Neurospora crassa OR74A: one gene and its partners. The protein of the gene in region 1 binds, or shares a complex with, the protein of each later gene. Links are inferred from orthologs where the notes say so. Each region holds a gene or a part of one and is shown in the gene's direction. Other genes may lie near its edges.

The links.
Region 2: NCU06749 (region 1) and NCU00952 share a complex: the UniProt entries of both Saccharomyces cerevisiae proteins name them as parts of the mitochondrial large ribosomal subunit. The link is inferred for Neurospora crassa OR74A from reciprocal best matches to the Saccharomyces cerevisiae genes MRPL9 and MRPL44.
Region 3: NCU06749 (region 1) and NCU04068 share a complex: the UniProt entries of both Saccharomyces cerevisiae proteins name them as parts of the mitochondrial large ribosomal subunit. The link is inferred for Neurospora crassa OR74A from reciprocal best matches to the Saccharomyces cerevisiae genes MRPL9 and MRPL6.
Region 4: NCU06749 (region 1) and NCU02804 share a complex: the UniProt entries of both Saccharomyces cerevisiae proteins name them as parts of the mitochondrial large ribosomal subunit. The link is inferred for Neurospora crassa OR74A from reciprocal best matches to the Saccharomyces cerevisiae genes MRPL9 and MRPL25.
Region 5: NCU06749 (region 1) and NCU08552 share a complex: the UniProt entries of both Saccharomyces cerevisiae proteins name them as parts of the mitochondrial large ribosomal subunit. The link is inferred for Neurospora crassa OR74A from reciprocal best matches to the Saccharomyces cerevisiae genes MRPL9 and MRPL38.
Region 6: NCU06749 (region 1) and NCU07852 share a complex: the UniProt entries of both Saccharomyces cerevisiae proteins name them as parts of the mitochondrial large ribosomal subunit. The link is inferred for Neurospora crassa OR74A from reciprocal best matches to the Saccharomyces cerevisiae genes MRPL9 and MRPL23.
Region 7: NCU06749 (region 1) and NCU06469 share a complex: the UniProt entries of both Saccharomyces cerevisiae proteins name them as parts of the mitochondrial large ribosomal subunit. The link is inferred for Neurospora crassa OR74A from reciprocal best matches to the Saccharomyces cerevisiae genes MRPL9 and MNP1.

The regions. Positions count from the first base shown.
Region 1 is NC_026502.1:2,066,040-2,069,671, forward strand, and holds NCU06749 (mitochondrial 54S ribosomal protein YmL9), read left to right. Parts: upstream 1-1,424; 5' UTR 1,425-1,767; coding exon 1,768-2,922; 3' UTR 2,923-3,132; downstream 3,133-3,632. Other genes in the region: NCU06750 (coiled-coil domain-containing protein 25), read right to left, coding at 86-486, 565-668, 811-850, 998-1,070; NCU06748 (hypothetical protein), read right to left, coding at 3,317-3,632. UniProt on the Saccharomyces cerevisiae protein: Component of the mitochondrial ribosome (mitoribosome), a dedicated translation machinery responsible for the synthesis of mitochondrial genome-encoded proteins, including at least some of the essential transmembrane subunits of the mitochondrial respiratory chain.
Region 2 is NC_026501.1:6,595,341-6,598,525, forward strand, and holds NCU00952 (mitochondrial 54S ribosomal protein YmL44), read left to right. Parts: upstream 1-1,363; 5' UTR 1,364-1,657; coding exon 1,658-1,838; intron 1,839-2,003; coding exon 2,004-2,119; 3' UTR 2,120-2,685; downstream 2,686-3,185. Other genes in the region: NCU00953 (hypothetical protein), read right to left, coding at 1-260, 362-711; NCU00951 (inorganic pyrophosphatase), read right to left, coding at 3,007-3,185. UniProt on the Saccharomyces cerevisiae protein: Component of the mitochondrial ribosome (mitoribosome), a dedicated translation machinery responsible for the synthesis of mitochondrial genome-encoded proteins, including at least some of the essential transmembrane subunits of the mitochondrial respiratory chain.
Region 3 is NC_026506.1:2,634,633-2,638,695, forward strand, and holds the start of NCU04068 (mitochondrial 54S ribosomal protein YmL16), read left to right. Parts: upstream 1-1,263; 5' UTR 1,264-1,448; coding exon 1,449-1,734; intron 1,735-1,952; coding exon 1,953-2,066; intron 2,067-2,157; coding exon 2,158-2,525; 3' UTR 2,526-2,676; coding exon of another isoform or gene 2,677-3,963; 3' UTR 3,964-4,063. Other genes in the region: NCU04067 (hypothetical protein), read right to left, coding at 1-202, 261-354; NCU04069 (3'-phosphoadenosine 5'-phosphatase), read right to left, coding at 2,677-3,963. UniProt on the Saccharomyces cerevisiae protein: Component of the mitochondrial ribosome (mitoribosome), a dedicated translation machinery responsible for the synthesis of mitochondrial genome-encoded proteins, including at least some of the essential transmembrane subunits of the mitochondrial respiratory chain.
Region 4 is NC_026501.1:9,064,477-9,067,432, reverse strand, and holds NCU02804 (mitochondrial 60S ribosomal protein L25), read left to right. Parts: upstream 1-1,450; 5' UTR 1,451-1,642; coding exon 1,643-2,037; intron 2,038-2,125; coding exon 2,126-2,186; intron 2,187-2,247; coding exon 2,248-2,283; 3' UTR 2,284-2,456; downstream 2,457-2,956. Other genes in the region: NCU02803 (pre-mRNA-splicing ATP-dependent RNA helicase prp-28), read right to left, coding at 1-1,137; NCU02805 (diphthamide biosynthesis protein 4), read left to right, coding at 2,875-2,956. UniProt on the Saccharomyces cerevisiae protein: Component of the mitochondrial ribosome (mitoribosome), a dedicated translation machinery responsible for the synthesis of mitochondrial genome-encoded proteins, including at least some of the essential transmembrane subunits of the mitochondrial respiratory chain.
Region 5 is NC_026503.1:4,951,434-4,955,010, reverse strand, and holds NCU08552 (mitochondrial 54S ribosomal protein YmL38/YmL34), read left to right. Parts: upstream 1-1,468; 5' UTR 1,469-1,765; coding exon 1,766-1,780; intron 1,781-1,864; coding exon 1,865-1,949; intron 1,950-2,262; coding exon 2,263-2,558; 3' UTR 2,559-3,077; downstream 3,078-3,577. Other genes in the region: NCU08553 (DNA directed RNA polymerase II 15 kDa subunit), read right to left, coding at 3,428-3,472, 3,538-3,577. UniProt on the Saccharomyces cerevisiae protein: Component of the mitochondrial ribosome (mitoribosome), a dedicated translation machinery responsible for the synthesis of mitochondrial genome-encoded proteins, including at least some of the essential transmembrane subunits of the mitochondrial respiratory chain.
Region 6 is NC_026503.1:1,107,974-1,111,319, forward strand, and holds NCU07852 (mitochondrial 54S ribosomal protein YmL23), read left to right. Parts: upstream 1-1,207; 5' UTR 1,208-1,535; coding exon 1,536-1,556; intron 1,557-1,700; coding exon 1,701-2,231; 3' UTR 2,232-2,846; downstream 2,847-3,346. Other genes in the region: NCU07851 (superoxide dismutase 1 copper chaperone), read right to left, coding at 1-195, 357-548; NCU07853 (uricase), read right to left, coding at 3,069-3,175, 3,260-3,346. UniProt on the Saccharomyces cerevisiae protein: Component of the mitochondrial ribosome (mitoribosome), a dedicated translation machinery responsible for the synthesis of mitochondrial genome-encoded proteins, including at least some of the essential transmembrane subunits of the mitochondrial respiratory chain.
Region 7 is NC_026503.1:1,524,674-1,528,193, forward strand, and holds NCU06469 (putative mitochondrial 54S ribosomal protein MNP1), read left to right. Parts: upstream 1-1,470; 5' UTR 1,471-1,688; coding exon 1,689-1,889; intron 1,890-2,156; coding exon 2,157-2,486; 3' UTR 2,487-3,020; downstream 3,021-3,520. Other genes in the region: NCU06468 (midasin), read right to left, coding at 1-885; NCU06470 (hypothetical protein), read right to left, coding at 3,230-3,520. UniProt on the Saccharomyces cerevisiae protein: Component of the mitochondrial ribosome (mitoribosome), a dedicated translation machinery responsible for the synthesis of mitochondrial genome-encoded proteins, including at least some of the essential transmembrane subunits of the mitochondrial respiratory chain.

The DNA.
Region 1 (3,632 bases):
ATGGCTTTCGGGCATCAAAGGATTTTCAGGTCTTATGTAGCTTGGAAAACTTCAGTAGGTTTGTTTCTTTTGTTCTCAAGCAAATTTACATGAAATCATCCTCCCAGGTCTCATCCCGATCCTGATTGCTCGAGTTCATCATGTTCTCCTCAGCAAAGAGCTCATCGTAGGCATGATCCTTCTGCCACTTCTTCTCGGCCCGCTCCTTCTTCAGGCGATCCTCCTCCTTCTTCCGCGCCAGCACCGCCGCCTGATCCTTCTTGCGCAGCTCTTTGAGATGCTGCTCCTTCTCCTCTCGCAGGTCCGGGTGCTTCTCAACCTTGGTCTTGTTCAGACGGTTGACGATAGCATTTTCGCGCTGCGCGATCAAAATGCGCTTCACCTTCTTCTGATCCTTGAAGCTGACCTGGCCGACCGCCATGCTGCCGTCCTTCTTGAGATTGGCCCATGGGGTATAGATGATTGTGATGTTGTCCTTCTTGTTACCTTTACAAAAGCACAGAGTTAGTCCTCACGAATTCCCCCATGACTTCCTGACAGTAGAATTCAAAAGCAGCAACTTACCCTCGATGGAGTTGGCCTTGGTCAACTGACCAAGGTCGGTCAGGAGCTCCTCGGGAATGTTCTCCCATGTCCAACCCTCTGGGAGACGGAGGTAGATATGAGCACTGGAAAGTTTGTCGACATGGAACTAAGTAGGGCCTAGTAATGAGAAACAGAGCATAATATGACGAGAACCTCATGGGGAGTCATACCCTACGAAGAATAGTTAGAAAATGCCGAACTAGGCTTGGCCGGGGTGAAACTTACCATACATCCTCCTCCCAGCCGTGTTGGATCAACTCCTCGTCTATAAAATAGCATGTTAGATGAGTGACGAGCTGACATCTATATCCAAGTCAAATATGCAATGTCCATGAGTGTGTCAAGATATATGCATATTCCACAAGGAGATGCAGAATACCACCAATTGTGGCTGATGATCATCTTCACGTACTCTCAAACTTGTCTTTCCCCACATAAATGAAAGCCGGGGGACTGACGACGGTCGAAGTGAAATAGAAGACCATGGTTGCTGATGCCTTTGGAAGAAATGAAAGATGGGAATATTGGGTATCTCAAAACGGCGACAATGAAAAAGACACTTCGTGCAAGAAGGGAAACCAAGATGCAAAAACGCGATTTCTTCTCTGGGGCTGTGTGGTGGTGGTTCGAGTGAAGATGTTTTAGCGGTTGAGTTTGGGGGATCCAATGCGGTAAAATGCGCCCGCACTCCAGCGGAAGTAAAACTACCTAAGTGAATAGAAAGAAGCAATTAACCCTAACCCTTCTTGTAGAGATGTCACACTCTGTACACCACAATCCGCCAAATACATAGTACCCGCCTGTGAATAGCCGCCCCTCCCCTGTCAATTGTGAATCCCCGGATGCCGAACCGATCGACGTTATCGGGGGGGGAGCATCCCGTTACTGAATTTCTGAGTGGCTATCAAATTTCTGCTGCTCCGTGCTTCGAGCCGGCGACCACCACTCCCGCACCCGCCCCAAAACCACCTCAACGGCCGCGCGCCGAAACGACCTCCCAACTCCGCCCCCTCCGGTTCGCGTCTCGAAGACAGCCGGTGTCCTTTCCATTCCCCCCACTCGACGCTCCGGGGCCCCGACATCGATACAACGAACACCGTCAGGTCCAATTGACTGCGACCAACCCCACCAAAAGCAACACAACACCACCCAACCCTCCCCTCAGACTTATACACATACACGATGGCGCCCCGGCTGCCCGCGCGCTGCTGGAGGCAGCTCTCCCTCGTCGAGAGGTCAGCCACCCACACCACAACCACCGCCGCCGCCAGCTCCCTCCTCCTCGCCGGCCGGACCACACCCACCTTCTCCGCCTCCTCGCCATCGACTGTCTTTCCCTCCCTCCTCCCTCAGATCACAAAGCGCGGCGTCAAGTACGGCTGGAGCACGCTCCCGAAGCGCAGCAGGCCCACACGATTCAACCAAGTGACGCAGGGTCTTCCGGCGCCCACCTCGGGCCCGGCCGCTGCCCTCAAGCGCCGCGAGAAGACTACACCCCTGCGCACCGGCGTGCTCGCTGTCAAGAAGGGCATGACCGTCTTCATGGGCCGCACCGGCGCCCGCATCCCCTGCACCGTTCTGCAGCTCGACCGGGTCCAAGTCGTCGCCAACAAGACGCGCGCCAAGAACGGCTACTGGGCCGTCCAGGTTGGCCTGGGCGAGCGCCGCGCCGAAAACGTGGGCGCCCCGCAGCTCGGCTACTACGAGGCCAAGGGCATCCCGCCCAAGCAGACGCTCGCCGAGTTCAAGGTGCGCAACCAGGACGGCTTGTTGCCGGTCGGCGTCCAGCTGTTTCCGGACTGGTTCCACGTCGGCCAGGTGGTGGACGTGCGCGGCATCACGCGCGGTATGGGTTTTGCCGGTGGTATGAAGCGTCACGGCTTCGCCGGTCAGGAGGCGTCGCACGGTAACTCGCTGAACCACCGTACCATTGGTTCCGTCGGTGGTTCGCAGGGCTCCGGTTCGCGTGTGTTGCCCGGCAAGAAGATGCCCGGTCGCATGGGCGCGCAGCAGCACACGGTCCAGAACCTGCCCATTCTGATGGTGGACAACGAGCTCGGCATCGTGGTGGTCAAGGGCGCGGTCGCTGGTCACAAGGGTGCGGTTGTCAAGGTTCAGGATGCTGTCAAGAAGGCTCCTCCCCCGGAGGAGTTTGTCGAGGCCACCAAGCAGCTCCTCAACGAGCGGTTCCCTGATGCGGAGGAGAAGTTGCAGGCGGCGAGGAAGTTGCACTTGGAGCTCAAGGAGGCGAGGAGACAGGGCCTGATAGATTCGCTCATCAAGAATGGGCTGACAGAGAAGGCGGATGGAAATGCTGCGGTAGAAGCTTCGGCTTAAGAGAGGGGGGCTGTCTCTGGTCTGTAGTATGTGTTTGTACTAGGTTTATGGAAGGGAATGTATGGTAAAGCCTTCCCGGTTTCTCATTTTTTTTAGTTCTCTCTTGTATGATACACACGCATCGTGGGGTGTTAAAATGTACAGCTACCGAAAATGTATAACAACTTGAACATACAACCCTTGCCCGTGATAGGTTCGTATGTTCTCTCCCTATATCTTACACATATTCCTCCTTGACAGCCTTCGGGTATTCAATCAGAGAGCCAGACCACGATCCTGTCCTTCAGCTCATCCTGTTTGAGAGGGGGAGAGGGGGACCACCACCTTCCCCGGTTCCCATATATATCCTCCCTTTTTTCAAAACTATTCCCTCCTTAAGAGCACCCCAAAACAATTACTTGGGCATCTGCCTGAAACCCCTGACCTTCGCATCCTCTGCATCATCATCCAGCTCAGGTTCCATCGCACGGCCGTTGATAGCTCTGAACGGATCGCCCTCCTCCAGCAGGTCAATGACCTTGCCGTCCTCCGTCTCCAGACTCCACTCGGTCGTCTCGAACATGCCTCGGGGCGTGGGCCGGAAGCTGGCGAAGCGCATCACGCCCGTGCGCTTGGTGCCCTTGACATTGAACTTGATGTCGATGCGGCCGTGCAGCTGGTTCATCTCGCCCGAGATCCACGGAATCTGCGCCTTGAAGTAGATCTCGTCA
Region 2 (3,185 bases), on another chromosome or scaffold:
GAGGAGGAGCATCTGACGAAGCGGCGGCGGCGGGGGTTGAGAGAGGGGGTGGAGACGTCGTCGACGAGGTTGGTTGAGCACCACCGCTGGGGGCAGCAGCAGTAGATACGGGTGTTGAGGCGCCTGATCCGCGGTCTGATGCGGCGAGGTTGGCGGCGACGGCAACGTAGGAGGCTAAGAGGAGCTGGCGCTCGAGGCGCTGGGCGGTTTCAAGGTTGCGGCGCGCCGCGAGTTGGGCTTTGCGGAAGGAGGTTCGACAGCTGTATTTTTTTGAGACGCAATTTTGTTAGGTACGTTGTTTATCTTCATCTTCATCATCGTCATCACCATCCAGGCTGAAAAGATGAGAAACAAAACTCACCCCTTAAGCTCGGCAGCCAAGCGTTGCGCGCCCTCCTTTAACCTCGTCTTTTGATGTTCCGCCTCACTCCCTGGGCGGCCGGAGCGCAAGTCGATAATCTCCTCCTGCAGCAACTCCAAATCCTCCTCCTCCTCGCGCAAGACCTGGCTGATTTCGGCGCTCAAGTCAGCGGCCTCACTGTTGGTGGTTCCATCGGCGCCAGTGTTCGCGAGACTGCTGATGCTGTTGCTCAAAGGAACGGAACCGGGCTCGAATTTGAGCGTGGCGAGACGCTCGATGAGGTCCTTAAGCTGGCCGGTCGTCTCTTGGAGGGCCGTGAGCCGCTCTTGAAGCGTTTCGAATGTTGACATTAGTGACTTGTTGTATTATGTCGGTATTGCATTCGTAGGGAGTTGACTCGGTAAAGGTAGATAGATATGTGTTGGAAAAAGGTGGATGTGTAACAAATGGTTTCCATGGATCGTAGTCGGATCCCACTTAGGTACCTGGTGTTGATCAGCAGCTGTGCTGTTGTTGATAATTAGTGGAAACCTGGCCTGAAAGGAGAGCACTGTAGCGATGTTCAATGGAAGTTCTCGGTGGGCGTGGCTCTTGCAACGTCATCCTCAAGGTCAATGAAAACGGATCACATGCGGAATTCGGTAACGGAGTTCAAGTTACAACTCGCTGGGGCAAATGGGAGTACGTACTGTTGCGCTGAAGGAACAAAGCACAAACTTACACACTCAGGGCTACAGACTAACACAATGTAATAGAAGGCCAGAAGTGATTCTCTTCCCGTTCAGAAGATTAAAAAGATGTATTATGTCAATTGATCTGATGTAGTGTAAATATGAATGCAAAATCGAGCCTGACACCGTTTGATCCCAGTTGGCTCCCAACCAATCACAGCCCATCTCTCACACGTAGCACGCGCCGTCCCGCATTCTCCGTTTTACAAAAAACACCCCTCCCGGTCCCCGGCGCAATCGGTACGTACCTCCAGTAATTTTTGATCGCATCCCTCCTCCACGCTGCCGGCCGGCGCCAGGCACGAAGACCGAATCGAAGTCCAAATCGCGACACACAAGCTACGTACCCCGTCCGATCCTCCACAGAGACCCGTCTCCCGTCTCCCGCGTCTCCGTATCCGTCCCCGTCCGGTGTGCAGTGCAGTCCCGTCGTCGCAAATTCGCAAAGTCGCAGTCAGGCCTCCGCGTTCCTCCTGCTTCTTCTTCTTCTTCTTCTTCCTCCCCGAACCCAACCCCAACACGACCTCAGGTCACCACCACCACCACCCGAGAGACCTCGCCCAACATGCTCACCCGCTTCATCACCGACGTATCAACGCGCTTCAACCCTTTCTCGGCCAAGGCCAAGGCCGCCCGGCTCTTCCTCTCCTTCCTCCCTCCCAACGCCCGCTCCAATGGCATGAACATCACCACCCAGCTTCTGCCGCGGAATTCCACCGAGACTCCTTTGCTCTACGTCAAGTTCAGTACGTTTTCCCAATGTCTCTCTTCTTGTCACTTGCAACTCTGTCACACATCGACGGACCGCCGTTGCAGTTGGTTGTTGCAATTTGGATCATTCCGGCTGGAAGGCAATCAAGAGTCGTTAGCTGTGAATCAAGCCGTAGTCTAACGTATTTGAAAAAAAACAGAGGACGGCAAGGAAATGAACCTCGACGTTGAGAACATGGGCATCAAAAGCATTGTCGAGGAGGTGGATCGCCACTCTCGTATCCTTCAGAAGCAGGCCGACTTGAACGACGGTTAACCGAATCTCTGTCTTTCTTTTCTTCTTCAAAACCCAGCAATCTCGAGACGCCCTTGTTGTGTTTTGATCCACCAATCGAACTTTGCGGGTAAAACGAGGGAGACTGAGACTAGGAAAAAGGAGGGAAAAGCCACGGGAAGAGCGACGAAAGCCCATCTTGTCTTGATACCCAGACTACTTGGCTTTGGTCCGTGGTACCAAAATGACGATTGACCGGGAGGAGAAGAGGAAAAGTCTGGATATCTAAAGGCACATTCGAATCACCTGGGTAAAGCCAGCGAGCTTGGAGCCGGATACCTGACGACCTCTCTGAGAGATCTGTAAGATCGCCTTACCAGCCAAAAAGAAGAAAACAACAACAAAAGATATGAACCTGTATTTGTATTGGGCAAGAGGTTGTAAGTGTACACCAACAGCATTGGGAGGCGTTAAGGGGCCGGCGATTTTCAGTTGGCAAGGCAGTTTGGGTACCTGTTGTTATAGACATGCGTATATAGCACCTCTGCCATGGATTGATTCACACACATCACGGTACGCCCATTTTGACAAAGTCAAAGTTGAGATCGGCCTTTTTTTTTTTTTTTGTTTTTGTTTTGGCGACCGTGTTTCCTTCGATGGGGAATTCATCAACGGTATCGGTATATTTCAACGGCGAAACTCATGGCGCAAGAATGTCGAGCATCTCCTCGACAAGTCCCTATCCCACGGCATGGACTACAGCCTCAGAAATGGCCAATCTCTGACCGCGCATACCTTGTTGCAAAGACGTTCGACTCTACGCAAAACAACGCATGAGGGTAACACCATGGAGGATTGTTCACGACGAATTGACCAATACAACAAAGTGCCAATAAATTATCTTTATTCTACCTCAACAAACGAACTCTCTAAGCGGAAGCACCGCTGATGAAGAACCACTTGTCGATGGAGCTATCGATAGGGGCAGGGGGGAGATTCTCGTTGGGAGGGAGGGGAGGAAGCTGGTCAGGGGCAACACGGCTGCTGGAGTGCTGGACAGTGACGTTGGTGGTGGAGACACCGCCAGGGGCAGTCTTGCCGGTGATGA
Region 3 (4,063 bases), on another chromosome or scaffold:
GTGAGGATTGTGGCGTCGTTCTTTCCGTCTACCAGCTGGCAGTTGTTGACTAGGAGTCGGGCGGCCACACGATGGCAAAACGGTTCTGATTCGAGTTCTTGAAGTTCACTTAGGGCGACGGCGTAGATATTTGGTAGGCGTGAGGACGCTCGAAGCAGATCCGAAGGCTGGATGTTGCGGTCGATGTTGACTTGATGGTCGGCTGTGTTGCGGTCATATTATTAGTCAAGCCCTGCAGGCAGTGCTCTGATATTACTTACGAACTGCCACTTTTCTTTCACCTCCCCACGAAAAGGCCAGAGAAGGTGTAGCTGTAACGGCACAGAGAGCCGTGAAGAGAAGCTTCCTGGCCATAGTTGTCATGTAAGTGCAATGCGACAGGCTGATGATGATATACTGATAAAGTCAGATGCGTCCAGAAGAGTGCCGTCGAAGGGACTTCGGCAGTAAGAAATGGAGATTCTGGCAATATTGGTAGTGCAATTTTGGCGATCGAAGTTTGTGGCCATGCAACTGAAAATTCTGTGGTGTTTTTGAAGAGAAGGAGCGATTCAAGAGAGGGAAGGAAGGAAGGTGTATGAGGGTAAGTTGGCGATCGCGACTGCCCAGGATAAGAGAAGCGGACTTGAATTTAGCGGGACAAGAATCACAGGATTGTGAAACCGCGAAAAGGTTTCGTGTGAAATGACTTCACTTGAAGTTCGCATCGAATATGACTGTGATTGTCTGCCGAGCTCGACTTTTGCTGGTTCTTAATCGTCTGATGTGACGCTGTCCTCTCCAACAGAAGCGAGCCTAGACAAAGATTTGGGCTGTAGACCACTTGTCTTGACATCACTGGAATCTGCATCTTTTCATCCGGTATCGAGAAAGTGCAAACAGCTCGCTTGAGACAGTTTGGAAGACTTCGACCGTGACGGGTGTTCTGGGTGGTGATGACTATCGTGAGGTTGGCATCCGTAAAGTCGTCATCGGAAAGCTGGACGATTGTCGAACGGGAGATTAATTCAACATTCAATCTGAATATTGTGAAACAATATGTTCCATCGAGTAAACTCTACACTTCCACGCCCTGTGCCATTTTCTTTTTGAAGATTTCTTACTCGAGATGAATGATGTCGGATGGAATAACATCTGTTGGTGTTCGTCGTTGTTTCTTAGCCCAAGCGAATAGCAGCAGCGAGACTATGCGGATACGACCCTAACCCTGTTGTATTTACAGCCAATCACTAGCTGCATTGCTGTGCCGCGTCAGGTCCGATACATTTTTTGGAGCTCTCCGAAGATCCACTCGGTTCATCCCACCACCCGGCCGGCTTGCCATTGACTCGGTGCTGCCCTTGCGACTGCCAGAACCTCCGAACTGGAGCGCCGCGTCTCTTCGCCAATTCCGGTTCCGCATCGTGACGACGGCCACCACCCTGCCGACGACGACGACACTCACCACGATGTTCGCCCCAAGCCGAAGGAGGGTCCTTGAGGCCGTTGCCTCTTCCTCATCTTCTCCCGTCGTCACACTCCCCGGCTTCCTGGTGCCCGCCTTCCAACAGACTGCCGGTGCCGCCGCCCGGCGCAACTTTTCCGCGACGACAACCCGCCCGTCCAAGCTCGGCCGCACCCCGCTCAGTATCCCTCCTGGCGTCGAGATCACCATTGGCGAGCCCTTCGTCAAGCGCGACATGACGCAGTGGAAGCAGCAGCCTAAGCGCAAGATTACGGTGCAGGGCCCGTTGGGTTAGTTTGTTCTATTGTAAAATCGACTTGGCAAAAGGACCAGATGGGTGTTTTATTTGAGGATACGCAACGAAACTGGAGCGGGCGCAACAGATGGGCTGGGAGAGGCCCGAGAGAGAACGTTGTTTATGGGTGTTTGCGCGAGAGTGCAAAGGGGACTAGGATGGGAGCAGAGCAGCTGGCTGACTTGTTGCACGTGTGCGTGTGCTTTTTCACAGGACAACTCGAGATGGACATTCCCGACTTCATCAAGATCGACCACGACGCCGAGGCAAGGAGAGCGACCCTCAGCGTAGCGAACCGGGACGAGAAGGAGCAGAGAGAGATGTGGGGTATGGCAAACACCTTCCTTGTCTTGGAGAATGTGGAAAGTTACGGGCGGCCAGTCAGCTGACGATTTCGAATCTTTCTTGGACAAAACAGGAACAACATGGGCGTACCTCAACCGCTTCATTATGGGTGTATCAGAAGGTCACACGGCCGTGTTGCGTTTGGTCGGTATCGGTTACAGAGCTACAATCGACACCCGCCCCGAGAAGGAGGAATACCCCGGCCAGCAGTTCGTCTGCCTCAAGCTCGGTTTCTCCCACCCCGTCGAGATGGGCGTTCCCAAGGGCATGAAGGCCAGCACGCCGCAGCCGACAAGAATCCTGCTTGAGGGCATCAACAGAGAGCAGGTCATGACCTTCGCCGCTGATATCAGGAGGTGGCGTGTACCGGAACCCTACAAGGGTAAGGGTATCTTTGTCAACGGCGAGACCATCAAGTTGAAGCAGAAGAAGATCAAATAGAGGACGCGCGGTGGGTTTTGGTGGCTGATATGGTTGTTGATGAGGATAAGGGGGGAATATTGTACATTTAGTCTATTATTTTTTTTGGCACACACATGGCCTCATAACGGCCCGATACCTGCCATAACCTGTACACTATGACACCGAGGCTTTACTGCTGCCCGAGAACTTCCTGAACGACCTTGATGACCTGGTCGTGGACCGCAGCAGGCGCCGCAATGACACCCTTGTTTTCAGCCAACGTGCGGCCGACGCTGAAATCCAGGCGGTTTCCACTCACGTCGGTAACCTGACCACCAGCCTCACGCACAATCAGATCTCCAGCAGCGTGATCCCAGATCTTCTCCTGGTAAGACTTGGAAGTAGGCAGACGGAGGTAGATATCACCCGCGCCGCGAGCAATAGAGCCGTACTTGGCCTGGGAATCCATGCGCACACTAGGCTTGGTGATCCCGAGCTTCTGCGCAATCTGTCCAGCCACGCCCTGATCCGAGTGACCCGCCTCCACGCTCTCGCAGAAGCTGGCGTTGGACATCTCTGTAATAGGCTTCATCGCAATGGACTTGCCCTCCGCAAGACCGGCGGTGCCCAGGGGTCTGCTAGTCGCGCCTTGGCCCTGAACGGCCGAGAAGATGACACCCCGGCCCTCATCGGTCGCATTGGTGCCGATATCCGCAGCCAACGGCGCAGCGTCGTCCACAGGCAGGTTCGGGCAACCGAGAACACCGACCTTGACGTCACCGTCCACCATCAGTCCCAAGCACACGGCATACTGTCCACCGCGCAGGAAGCCCTTGGTGCCGTCGATGGGGTCGATAGTCCATATCCTGCCCTTGGCGCCGCCCTTGCTGTTGCCCTGGTCGATGATCTCCAGCATCGCGTCGGCATCCTTGATGGCGCCGCCAAGGAGTTGCTCGGCAGCCTCATCGTCAAGCTTGGTGGACTTGACGAGCTCCCAGATCTGGTCCCGCAGGGGGGTGTCCTCGCGCAGCTGAGCGGCCTCCTCCTCAGCCACAATCTCGTCCGAAGGAAAGTTGGCCTTGAGGGCGCTGATGATGAGCGCCTGAGCGCCAAAGTCGCCAATGGTCACAGGGGACTTGTCGTCCTTGGAAACGGTGCCCTTGGCCTTCTCGTGGAAGACGCGCTTGGTGAGGCGGGCGGCCCGCTGGACGGCGAGCTGAGCTACCTCGAGCTCCTTTGCGTACTGGGAAGAGGCCATCTTCTGTGTAGATGTAGTTGTAATGGTTGAGCGGCTGGTTGCTGTGATTGTGTTGGCACTGCCAGTCAAATGGCTCGCAATGAGGGAAAGCCGGGGAAAGGAGATGCGGGAACTGAAGATAGCCAGGATGAGGACGATGAGGGAGAAAACGAAGAGAATTTTGGAGTAGAAAGTATGGGACGATGCCTTTTTCTGCTGTTTGATCTTATCCACAGTCATACAGCCGCGAGAGGATCGATAAACCTCGGGGAATTTTCAATCCGTAACCGGAATACGTATTCAGTCCAAGTTGTTGAGTGGTTGAACTTGGGATTCTGGC
Region 4 (2,956 bases), on another chromosome or scaffold:
TCTTGTTGGCGCCAGAATCAGGGCATATGGACCGTCGTTCTTGTTGTACTCGGTCAGGGGTGGTAGTTCGGAGATGTAAACCAGCAGAGGCAGCAAGAAAGCTGCAGTTTTACCGGAACCCGTCACGGCCACACCGATCAAGTCGCGTGCTTGAAGGGCAATGGGAATGGCAGCTCTCTGAATCGGCGTCGGCTCGTCGTAACCCACGTTCTTGACAATGTCGAGCAGACGCCTAGGCAGCGTGGACTCTTCCCAACTGCGCATAGGGTTGGGAATGGCACCGCCCTTGGTGGCAATGCCAAAGTTTTCCTTGAAGATACGCCAATCGCGCTCCTTCATGTCCTCCAGCTTCTTCTCGGACCAGTGCTTGCCCAGGTTCTTGCGCTGTTCCATCTCCTTGATCCGTCTGTGTTGTTCCAGGTATTGCCTGGCGCGCTCCTCGCCCGTCTCGGGATCGCCACGACGGATGGCTTCGGCCTTCCGCATCACCATCTCTTCCGTCATCTCGTAACCACCAAGTCGGACCAGAGGCTCTTGACGCTCTGCGTAGATGGGGTCGAAGGGTCGGCTAGTGTCGTCATCGGCATCCCAGTCAAAGTTGAACTTGTTCGCTGCCGTCCTCCTCCTCTTCTTCTTGGCCGAGAATGTGGACTGATTTACTACTGGACCCATGTAGCGGGCGCGCAGCTCTGCCTCGTCGTTCCTCTCCATCTTGGCTCGCTTCTCTTCGTCATCGTTGGGTGCGCCGCGTTTTGCGCCCCGTTGGTTTCTGTCTCGGTTATCTCTGTTGTCGCGATTGTCTCTGTAGTCCCGACCGTTGCTCATGCCGTTGGGTCCCCGGTCATCGTCGTACCGCATCGCCTTGGGTCCGGTTGGGATGTTTCGTTGAGGGTTGTGGTTGTGATGACTCTGGATACCGTCCATGCGGTTGCCGTTATGATTTGTTCCATTTGGTTGAGGCTTGGCTTCTTCCTTGCGCTTGCGTTCCTCTTCTTCCTTTGCCTTTTTCTCGGCTTCTAGCCTCTCTCGTTCCTTTTTGGGGATGAATCTTGGTTTCGCGGCGGCGGCTTCTTCCTCCTTCTTCTTGCGCAGCAGTGCTGCCAGGTCTGGGGGTTCCCGTCTTGATGTCGTGCTCATCGTGGTAGTGTATGGAGTTGGTGATGAATCGAAGGAAGAGACTGGTCGGAGGCGACAGTGTTGACAATAAACGTGTTGATTTCCAAGCAGTGCTGGGTTCCGGAATGGGGTTGTTGTTATGGCGAACTTGGGTGGTTCTGGGGTGCAGCAGCGGTGCAGCACAGTTCTCGACCCGCCCAAAAGTTATGTCACGGTTCAAGGTCGGTGATCCCTGTCGTGCCTGTTCAAGGGTCTCCACATGCCCCGCCTTACGCGGGGGGTTAAAGAGGTCGGGTTAGGGCTCAAAGTGTAACTTCCGGCTGTCGCTATGTACCGTTTCGCGACCTGGAACTTTTTCGCAGTTGGGGTCCCGTCGGCGGCCGATTGATCGCAAAGTTCCCCGTTCCGGTTCGTTCGAGCAATCCGGACCCTGTCACCTACGACAAAAACAAACAAACAAACAACCCCCCCCCCCACCTCGACCGACACAGTACCGCCAGCAGGCCGGTCGATCGACATCTTCACCATGGCGGCCACGGTGAAGCAGCACGTCCAGCTGGCGCTTTCGCTCCCACCGCGGTTGCGCACCTTCTTGGCCCGGTACCCGCCGGCCTCGATCCTGCCCGCCGGCGCCGACCCCGAGACGCACAAGACGCCCTACCAGGAGGAGAGCCCGAACCCGTTCATGCCCACCAAGCACCCAATCACCGGAAAGTGGCACAACCCCAAGTACTCGCTCAGGCGACAGGCCGAGCTCGTCAAGCTGGCCCAGGAACACGGCGTCGAGGAGCTGCTGCCCTTCACCCGCAAGCTCAACGAGGAGAAGCTACGGAAGAGAGTCGAGCTCGGTCTCCGTGTCAAGGGTACCGGTGTTGGAGAGAAGGTCAAGGGTCACAAGCACGAAAGGACACTGGTTGCCAAGTACGTTGTCGATCCTCGGCTGCTGCTGCTGCTGCTGCTGCTGGTTGGGAGGAAGTGGTGGTTTGCTGACGGTGGATTTCGCACACAGGATGGAGAAGAGGAGAGAGGCCATGCTGGCTATGCCCGACCTTATCCGGGAATGGAAAAAGGTAAGGATTGCGCCCAAACTCTTGCGGTTTGCACTCTTGTTAACCATGGGCTTCGCTACAGGTCGGCAAGAGGAACTGGACCAAGTTCCCCAAATAAGCGATCGGTTGTTGTCGCTTGTCGGGAAGATTACAACGAGAGTCACTGCCATGTCCATAGACTGTATCATCACCAACAATGTACAACAAATTTCAAGCCATTTGGAAGGGGATTGCCATCAATGTGGTTCTGTTTCCCGGTTGTTGACTGAACGTCCTCTGGCGTCTTATAAGACGGAGTTCCCCACTGTGGTTGGAGGCCGAGACGAGGTAATGTGTCTAACGGTGCAGTAAAATTTCCCCCCCGAATTTGTTTCTCTGAACAACTCACTTCACGATACCAGGCACACAACTAAGACTCAAACCACCACGTGAGAACCGACACATCACACATCCTCTTTTTTTTGCCTATTCACATTTCCTACTGTATACAGCAACATAACAAGGGCAGCGAGCGCAAAGAGACACGTGATTGCGGGATACAAACTTTTCTCTCGAAAGCTGCTCGACGCAAACCACCAACCTTTCACCACTTACACGTCGATACATTTCAACACCAAACCGGTCTCACAACCATACCATTTTATACCCGGGGCCGCACTACCAAACACCACATTGAACACCAAACCGCAAAACCACCAACACATCCAAGATGTCCCAACCAACCTTCTACGAAATCCTCTCCCTCTCACCCACCACCTCCGACCTCACCCCCGCCTCGATCAAACAAGCCT
Region 5 (3,577 bases), on another chromosome or scaffold:
TGTTTCCGTCAGCAATTGAGAGCTGAAGCTGACCGCAAAGTGAATGAATAGTGCACTCTCTCGGCCTCAGGTCTCACGATGTGTGTCTGCAACGAAGCCAAGTGCAGCCAATGCGACTCGACAGTGGCTGACAATGACAGGCGCAGTCAAGTGATGGTGGTGGTGGTAGTGGTGACAGCCAAGGTCACAAAGTATTGAAATTCAAGCTGAAGCTGCAGCTTTGATCGAAAGGGACAGACTTGTTGTTGTTGTGGGTGGTGGTTGACGGGAGGACAAGGACGTGGTCGCGAATGAGGTTGCAAAGAAGGGCGGGCGGGCGGCCGAACCCTTGAGAAAGCTGAAGAGCTGAGTGGGAATGACTGGGGATGGAGGTCAAGCTTGGGTGAGGGTCCTTTTGCGGTCCGAGTCTTGTTGGTGGTTGGTCGGACTCGGGGGGAAATGGAGTTGGAGTGGTCCGGCGAGGCGGGTTGCCGTCATATGTATTCTTGTACTTGTTGTCTGTCTATGAATTCCTGAACTCAAGTGTGAAAGTGCGAGGAAACTGCAAGGTGGTGCGGGCTTCTTGCTTTTGGCTGCAGGGATATGAGGCAATAGCCTTGTTTGAGGGCCTTGCTATTTTACCTGGAGCTGTAACAGGAAGAACAGCAACAAACCGTTTGGTGGCAGTGAAGCTGAGGTGAGAATAAGCTGAAGCTCAAGGTAAAACTGCTCAAATCGATTGGAGAACAGGGAAAAAGGGGACGAGCAGAAACAAAACAAAAGGGGGCCCGGCATTGCAAATCTTCGCCTCTTTACTCCTCTTTTCACGATCCCACCTGTTGCCGTGGTAGCGGTGGTCTAGCCAAATTCCGAAAGACACAATTGGAGAATCAGCCGACGGGGGAGCGGGGACTTGGGGGAGAGTGGGAGACACCATCCTGGCTGGAGCTTGGTTGCGCCGAGGTTGTCATTGGTGGTTTGGGTCAGGGCTGATGGAATGTTTCTAACCAGATGGGGATGTTGCTAGCAATGGACGACTTGAGTCTCAACGATCATCTGGGGTACGCTTTCAGAGATGGGTACTGTATGTATATCGCTGTCTAACTTGCCTCTGGAGTCGTCGGGTAGAGATACTATGACAAGCTGTTTGCAAGCTGACTTGAGATGGTACATGCCCGGGCTAGCTGTCTGATTGTGTCCAGAATGGCCGCACTCATTATCTTCCTTGACAAATACAGACGATTCAACAGTTCATTGTCCAATAATGACTTCTCATAAAATGTGCTCATTGTTAAACTCTTCTTAACATCAACTACGGTCATTGAGTCCTCACATGTTCTGTTGCTGATGCCTCAGACTCTCACACTTTCAGAGCTTCAACTACAGCTACTTCCCGAAAGCGTTAGTGTAGTCAAAAAAGCAGCTATGTAAAGAGCATGCATGAGACACCCCTCCCGACTGGCTCCACACTCTTCGTCCAAGTTTTGGCGCGTCCCCTTCTTCTCTCTTTTCTCGCGTTACTTAGGAGCCTGCTTACCTAATGCAGGGTACGTACCTCTAACCTGGCATCCCCGTCCCGCAAACAATTTTCGATGGGGTCCCCGCGTCCGGCGGGCACGACGGACAGCAGCCGGCCGGCCGGTCATCAATCAATCAATCAATCGATCGATACGCGGCGTCAACCGTGGAATCCCCATTCAGTTGCCGGGTTTCGGTCCTCTCGACAGCCAACTAACTTCAGCCACTACTCGCTCGGTAACAGGGACAGAGTAACCGGTTGCCCAAGATGATTCAACTAAAGGTTTGTTTTTTTTTCTTCTTCCCTTGCTGTCGAACGAAAGCAAAAAGAGTTTGGTTGCTAACGAACCATGCGAACTGCAAACAGACGATGCTCAACTGCATCGACAACTCGGGTGCTGCCCTGGTGGAATGCGCCATGGTTGTCGGCCAAAAGAGGCATGCTTCGATTGGTATGCTTTCGAATTCCCTTTCGATTTCCGTTATACACCCACGAACCCATCGTCGACTCGAGCATATCATATCTACACGAACTACCCGATCCCTCTTTCGTACCCCAACACCAACACCGTCGTCGCCGTTCATACCCGTCCCATCCCGTCCGATTCTTCTCGTCCGACCAAGGAACATCTGGTCTTATACACATATCATACTTGCCTCTTGCCCCTCTTGTTCCTCCCTCCCCCTTCTTTCCCCCCTCTTGTCCCCCTCCCCCTTCTTTCCCCCCTTCTTTCCCCTCCTCATACCTCAACTAACAGAAGAAAGGCGACCGCATAGTAGTAGTCGTCCAAAAACAGCGCGGCGCCGACTCGGCCGGCATGGCCGCCTCTTCGGCCGCCACCAAGGTGAAGCGCGGCGACATCCGCCACGCCGTGGTAGTGCGCACCAAGCAAAAAGTCCAGCGCCGCGACGGTTCGGTCGTCCGGTTCGACGACAACGCCTGTGTCTTGATCAACAAGGCCGGCGACCCGATCGGATCGCGCATCAATGGTGTGGTGGGCCAGGAACTGCGAAAGAAAAAGTGGAGCAAGATATTGAGTATGGCGCCTATGCAGGCTTAGCTAGGCTTGATTGATCGATCAGGGAGGATATATGTACGATGGATGTAGCGGGAGAATCAAGATGGAATGAAATATGAATACCCGTAAAGAAAAAGAGTTGAGTTTGTTGGGGTGGGATGTGGCGTGACGCTCCTTGAAGTGAAGAGGAGTATGCTCGGTGGGATGTGTCATTGCGGTGACTTGGTGACTCTCGTGGGGGGTTTGGGTGTCGGCTCAGCTTGGGTTGGCTGTGTTGAGGTAATGACTGACGATGAGCGCTACGGAACATCACTTTGTTGATATCTGACGGAACTGTGGTTTGTGTGTCTACGGATTTCCAGGATGGACTTGGGATGGCCTGGCGTATACGGGTTTGAGACTGCGACGTTGTTCTCAAGGTACGACGGCTTCACACACCGGACATCACACCAAAATATGGTCTCATCGAACGGCCTTTCTTCAAGCGCCATTTTGGGTAACGATCAGCCAGCAGCAGCCGTCACATCAGTCGATTAGGTTTACCAGTCACTTCAGTTCGGGACATCAAGCGTGCCGTCCTAATCTGTGTATACTACTGTACATTACATGTCATGTCAAGCAAAACAACATCACCATTGCATATCACACGAAACAGTTTATAACGTTATCCACGAGATTCATGGAAAGACCATTTCTAAACCAGTGTCCTGCCAAAGCATGAAAAAGAAAACCAAACGCCCTAAACCGCGGTCCTTTTGAGTTAACCGTGTACAAACGCCACTGTAATGCAACTCATCATGACCCCCTGATCTTTATTAATCAACCTGTGATTTTTTCCGACCGCCCGCCTGTCCGCCTATAACAAGGATCGATCTGGCCCTATTCCTTCCGAGTGAAGAGTGAATCCCCCACTACTGGTAAATATTACCACAATCGCAGCAGACGTAGAAAAGTTTCTGAAAGTAACGTTGTTAACCCATGACTCTGGTGAGCCCCTCCCAGGCAGGTGAGTGAGTCTTACCATTCCGGTTTCCGAAGTACGCTGCTGTGACTGGAAGAAG
Region 6 (3,346 bases), on another chromosome or scaffold:
GGAACCGCGCAGGATGGCGTCACGGCCCGTGGACTGGATGGCGTTGACGATGGCGGAAGGCGCGGCCGTGCCTTCTATCGTGAGCAGCTGGTCCTTCAGGTTGGCCTCCACTTTGTTGATTCCGGGGAGCTTGTAGAGTGCACCGGAGACGTCGTTCACGCAGCTTTCGCAGTGCATGGGCACGGCGAAGAGAGTCTGTGAAATGAGTTAGTATGATGTGCCTCTGGAAGTATGTCAAGGTGAGTCAGATATGTGAGACAGGCTTGGACCCTTTATCTAAAGAAAAGGAAGGGCTTGGACCGAAGCTCATATGTAGGCATATATGAAAATGAGGCTGTAAAAGGGTATAAACAAACCTTGAAGGGGGTTGTGATGGAAGCCATGTTGCCGGCTATCTTCGGGATTGATGATTTGGGAGCAGCCGGGGATGACTGTGACTGAAAATAGTTCCTATGTTGTTGGCGTTGTTGCCAAAGGTATGCGCCTCCAAAACCTGCTAAAGCTAGACTAGAAATACTTAGGATTTGTCTGGCCGTGTACGGTGGCATCGGTTTCAGGCACTAAGAGGTAGCAAAGACAATACTGAGGACAGTATAGAAGTGGTGGTGTGAGAAGCAACACCAACGTGAGACGATGGATTTGTATAGAAGGCGATGGAGGAGAGCCCCACGTTCGGCGAAGGAGGGGACGACTAGGTACAATTAATAACGTTTTGGCTCCAGTCTACGGATGCTTAAGAGACGGGGTAAATGCGACTCTTGTGCTGAGATTCCTCATTGTTTCTCGACAAGAGAGTGCATGAAGTCACCTCACTGGAGTGCGAAATGTCGTTTTCCCATCTTCACTGTAAGACGGCAGGAAGGTAGATGTCGGCCTGCCAAAATGTTGATTTCAAAGCGACGGCACCTTTCTGGGACCACTTTTTGCGGGCGACCAACTGGGGCTCCGCTGTGTCCGGCTCCTCGATCGGCCCAAGCCAGGGCAATCCTGCTCCCCGAAAGCGTGTGATATGTACCGGGAAAGGAAGTGCAGGCTTTGGTACATGGGACATCAGTAAAAGAGAGCTCTAAGTGCGCCGAGTTGGTGTTTGTTAGTGCTTTCCTCAATTACACACTAAGACTTGCGGACCACCGTAGCCACCCCGCCAACCGCCAGCGGGCCGTCGTGCCCCAATCGTACGTGGAAATTTTCCGGCAAGAAAAGTGATTGCAGCTTTTGGGCTTGGCAGGCTCTGCTGCTGCCCTTCTGCAGGAGCTCCATTCTGCTTCCCGTGATACCGGACCACATTTGATACCCGTTCGCCGCGACAAGCCCCGGACTTTCTCGCGCCTGCCGAACCCGCCGTCTCGAACACTCCGGAGCCCGCCCGATCCCGTGTCATTCAATTGACCCGGACGATAACACATAGAGGTTCACTTACCACCAGTCGATGAGGGACTCGTTCCCACTGGTTTTCATACCTGCCTTCTCCACCTTAATCCTCTCTTGAACACCATAGTATACGACCTACATCACCACCGCGCAACACCGTCAACATGTCGCAAACAGTCGGAGCTGTAAGTTTCTTCCTGTTCGGACACAACTGTCCCATAATTTCGTCGTGTTTCTTACAATTTTGGCACTTGCTCGCCCTCCCGCCACCACCACCACCACCTCCACCACCCGTCACTAACCACCGCCGTCTTGCGACGAACGTGTAGACCCGACTAGCCTACTCCCGTGTCTGGCACCACATCTCCGCCGTCACCCCTCACCCCACCCTCTCGACCATCAAGGCTCCTTCCGAGGCCATCACTCCCCCTTCTCTCGGTCGCCTCGCCTCGCGCATTGCCACCATCCTGATGGGCAAGCACAAGCCGATCTGGGATCCCTCCACCGACTGCGGCGACTACGTCGTGGTGACCAACTGCGCGGGTTTGTACACGACGGGCCACAAGAAGTGGCGCAAGACGTACTACCGCCACAACACCCGGCCCGGTTCGCTACAGGCCATCACCATGGATGCGCTGATGGAGAAGCACGGCGGCGCCGAGGTGCTGCGCAAGGCCGTCAGCGGCATGCTTCCCAAGAACAGGCTGCGCGACAAGAGACTGGCGAGGCTCAAGGCGTTTGAGGGTGATGCGCACCCGTACAAGGAGAACTTGGTGCGATTTGGCGGTAAGGTGGTGGGCGCTCCAGGTTGGGAGGAGGCTGTCAAGGCTATCCGGGAGGCGGACATGGAGAGGTTATGAGCGACCATGGCTTTGAGGTGTGAAGGTCTGGTTGAAGGCGCTGGAGCTGGCTATCTACTCATGGAAGAGTGTCAGAGAAACGGGAGAGAAAGAGATGTAGGGACGAATCTACATCGAGCCGTTACGAACCATCTAGCCGACGAAGACTGAGAACTCTGTCAACTGTGAGGAAGATTGTGTGGACAACCACCTCGTTGGGGCGAGAAATCTCTCTCGTGTGTTCTTGTGTCTGTTACAGCCCACTTGGCCGTGTGATTCACGGGCAATGCCGCCAGTGTCAGTCTGTATATTACATGGGAAGCCGGTTCATGAGCCCAGCGCGCAACGGACAGTGTACGAACTTGGGTTAGAAAAAGGGGGCCTCTCATTGTACAAATATATCACTCAACAAGATACCATGATTACGACTCATGAGAGCTGTTTAGACTCATTGATTGTTTGATCTGATAAGCGATGAGCAGATCCTCATGTCCAACACGCTGAAGGCCCGCGAAGGCAAAAAGTCAGCCTCACCGATTTCACGGCATATTTTTTCACTTGGTAATTCGAGAGTGCAGCTAGCAGTGCTTTTCGGATGCTTGCTTGTTCATAATAGGAAGTTTATTTGATTACCCCTGAAAATTAGCGCCAGTCAAGATGTCCATAGCCTCCGTCTCATGATGATCCGTTGCATCAAGGTATCATCATCTTTCCACCTTCAAAACGTACGCCTGCCCGCCAACCAACCCCTCGGAACGTGAGGGGGAATGCAAAAAAAAAGAAGAAAAAAAAATGGTGATATCATAAAAGAAAGCCAAAGAAACATGTGTGACGTTTTAAAAACAAAGTTCAACAGTCTTACGAGCGAGAGACCTCGCATTTGATGAGACCGTTGGGACCAGACTGGGGAGCGTACACCTCGGCGTCCTTGCCGGTGTTCTGGAGGCCCTTGTGCCAACTGAGATCTGTTTTTTTTTTTTGGGTGTTAGTGTAAATTTATCTGGACCTATTTTTTTTTTTTTTGGTGGATTTGCGAAAGGGGTACTCACCAACTTCAAAGTAGTGCTTGTTGGGTAGCGAATAGTTGGTCTTCTCCGTCTCGGGTACCGCATCCAAGATCTGCTCGCACATCTTGT
Region 7 (3,520 bases), on another chromosome or scaffold:
GGGAGCAGTCACAGGGCCGAGGGGACGCGGGAGGACTGTCTTTCCATATTTGACAACTAGAGGAGTGAGGTTCTGTTCTGGGATGTTTGTGATATTCAATTCGACAACCGCATCGTCAACCGCACTAGTTTGTTGGGATTTACTGCGAGAGCTCTGAATGTCTTCACGTCTAGAATCCTCGTGTAGGCTGAGGAACGCATAGTCGGCTTCGCGCCCGTCGAGCTCTGCGACAAGGCTGGTATCTTTGGGTATGTGCTTTTCGAGGAGGGCTTCGATCTTGACATCGGCGGCATTATGAAGCTGGCAGAAGATTCGGACGGCAAGATATCGGACGATGGGGTTCTCGTGTGCGAACAGGGTCTGTATTTGGGATGGCTTTGACAGGCCGGCGTAGGTGCGCTTGTCAAAGTTGTTGAGCCTCCAGAGGGCTAGGAGGACAATTGGGAGGTCATCTGGGCGGATCGAAGCTAGGTCAAGGGAATCGAGAGGTTTAAGTTTTGAAGAAGCATCATTGTCGTTGCTTTTGTCGTTGTGGTTACCACCATTAACACCACCAAAAGATCCTCCTCGAAGATGCGACACGAGGAAGACGGACAGCGACGGGGCGAAGGGCAAGATCCTTGCGAAAGCGGCAAGGACTCGCGTATCGAGTTTTGGAGAAGACAGAATCCATCTGGCGCAAATATCGGCAAAAACAGACTCGAAATGGGTAAAGATGCGGTCGGTGGCTGTCGAGACAAGAGCGGCGCTGGCGATCGCATCGAGGAATTTGGTCGATTGGTGATCCTGGATTATGAGCAGCAACTCTGGCGGCAAGAGGTCCAAGGTGGTCGCATCGCTAAGGAGCGACGCCCTCTGCTGGCTCACATCGATCACGGCCATCATGGCCAGGGAAAAGCGACGGGACGGGTTGGCGTGGATGTCGTCGTCGTCGTCGTCGTCGTCGTTGTGAAAAACGGTGATGTTTTTCTTAGTCTCTTTTTTTTTTTTATCTCTAACTTTTTTGCCCATTGAACTTCGCTTTCTCCCGTTTGGAACTTTTTCCCACATGAAATTCCTTATCGCGCTGAACGATAGTGCGGGGTACATGCTACTTAGCGCTAGGCGCATGTGCTGGGGTGTACTGCATAGTACTCTACATAGTGTAGTGTAAGTCGGCTGCGGCAGGCAAGGGAGCCATCTTCTTCAAAAGTGGAACCTAGTTCCGGGTGGGACGAACAGCCCAGCGGCAGCAGGGGCGCGCTTGGGATGACAGGGGCCCATCCTTTAGCGCGTCTTCAGTGGACTTCAAGGTACAGAGGTACCTAATCCCCAGACTCGCGCGGGGCAGGCAGCTTGGGTTTTCCCCTCCAGCTGCAGCTCCGGGTCAGCCAGCCGTCATAGATCCAACTTGCACGCCCAAACCACCAAGCTGCCAACTGCCAGTAGTGGGTCCCAGATTTCGCAGCACCCGGGAGCGCGCGACAACGTCCCCAAAAAAATATCTCCGTTTAGTTGTTGTACGGTTCGGTTGTACGATCCTCGAAGTCGACGTCGACGGCAAGCCTCCCTCACCAAAAAAAGAGAACCCCAATCCGACCGCCCCCGCGCGCCCTCTCTCTTTCCTTCCTCCGGTCCGAGTCCGACTCCCCTCTCTCCATCCATCCATCCACACAACCCACCACCACCAACACACACACATACCAACAATGTCTCTCTCGGTTCGCTTCGCCGCGCAATGCGCCGCCCGCCAGCTCCGCGCATCCACCCGGGCCTCGAGCTCCCTCCTCGTCCAGAAGCGCTTCGAGTCCACCGCCGCCCCTGCCGCCAACCCCAAGATCGCCGCCATTGTTGACCAGATCAGCACCCTGACTCTCCTCGAGACCTCGGAGCTTGTGTCCAGCCTCAAGGTACGCCCGATTTAAATAAAGCACGAGAAGAAGAACAACCGGGGCCGGGAACCGGGACACACAAAACCCGAATCGGAGCATGTTTCAAGGTTTCCGGATGTTTTTGCGCCCCGGACCCGACCCGACCCGACCCGGCCCGGCCCCGGACAGACAGACAGACAGACAGACCTATCTTATACTACCTAGACTCTCAAGTCGCACACATGTACATGGGCACCAACACTAACACTCACTCTCTCTCTCTCTCTCTTCTTTTACACAAAACAGTCCCGCCTCAACATCCCCGATCTCCCCGTCGGTGGTTTCGCCGCTGCCGCCCCCGCCGCTGCCCCCGCCGCCGCTCCCGCTGAGGAGGAGGAGGCCGCCCCTGCCGCTGCCGAGAAGACGCTGTTCACGCTCAAGCTCGAGAAGTTCGACGCCGCCGCCAAGCCCAAGGTCATCAAGGAGGTCAAGAACCTGCTCGGCCTCTCCCTAGTAGAGTCCAAGAAGTTCGTCGAGAGCGCGCCCAAGGTCATGAAGGAGTCGGTACCAAAGGAGGATGCCGAGAAGATTGTCGCCGCCATGAAGGAGCTCGGCGCCACCGTCACCATGGACTAAACTGCTGCTTCTGCCTAGTAAAAGGGTTGGTTGCTATGGTTATGGTCTCTGTGTGGTGGTGTGGTGGGTGGAGGCGCCGTGTGTGTGTGTGTGTATGTGTGTTGTTGTTTTGTAGGATGGTCACGTCCCTCCCCCGCAGAAAAAGAACCAAACGAGGAGATCTTTTCCTGACACAGATGCCGGAAAGATATTTTCTTTTTTTTTTCCTATAATGATGATCATGACGGGACAGAGTTGGAAGAAATGCCAGGGCCTTGGGAAACACATAAAGGGGGATTCTCGGTCTCATCTACATTATATCCTCATGGGGAAAGGGGGGGAGTGGCGGACACAGATTCCTCACAACAACATATACCACTTGTACGTGTACAAAAAGCAATGAAACATGTAACATTATATCATACTACGAGAACTGGGATGGATAGAAGAACGGGTTGTCAGCGAAAACATGAGAGTCTGTCGACGATATTACCGTGAGCAGATGCCGCTTCTGAGTTAATAGTATCTCCCCACTTTCGCTTATGGATACCGAAGATAACTAAACAGCCAAAAACATAAACGCCATCCCATGCATACCCCATGTATCGGTAACTTCCTTGTTTCTTATTCTCAACCTCCTTCTCCTTGCCTCCTTCAATTTTCTTCTTTCTATCGCACTCCTACCAGCGCGCCTCTTGTATCCACCACCCGTGTCATTCCTACTGGTCTTGAATTCCCAGGTTCTCTTCTCCTCCGTCGGTTTCCTAACCCGAAGTCATCTCCACATCTTTATCTTGCTTCTCCTGTTGCTCCTTTTCCAGCTGCTGCAGCTGCTTCCTCCTCGCCATCTCGGCAATCTCCCCACTAATCGACATTGGCTTTTCCTTCATGTTATTCCCATTCATACCATCATCCCTCTCACCCCCGTTACTGGTAGAGGTAGTATGCCCACACCCCGCACCACCACTCCCTCCAATCCCTCCAATCCCCGCCTGCAAACTCCTCTCCCACTCCTCCTGCTCTTCCCATATCGCCCTCATGTCGTCATCCCCCAA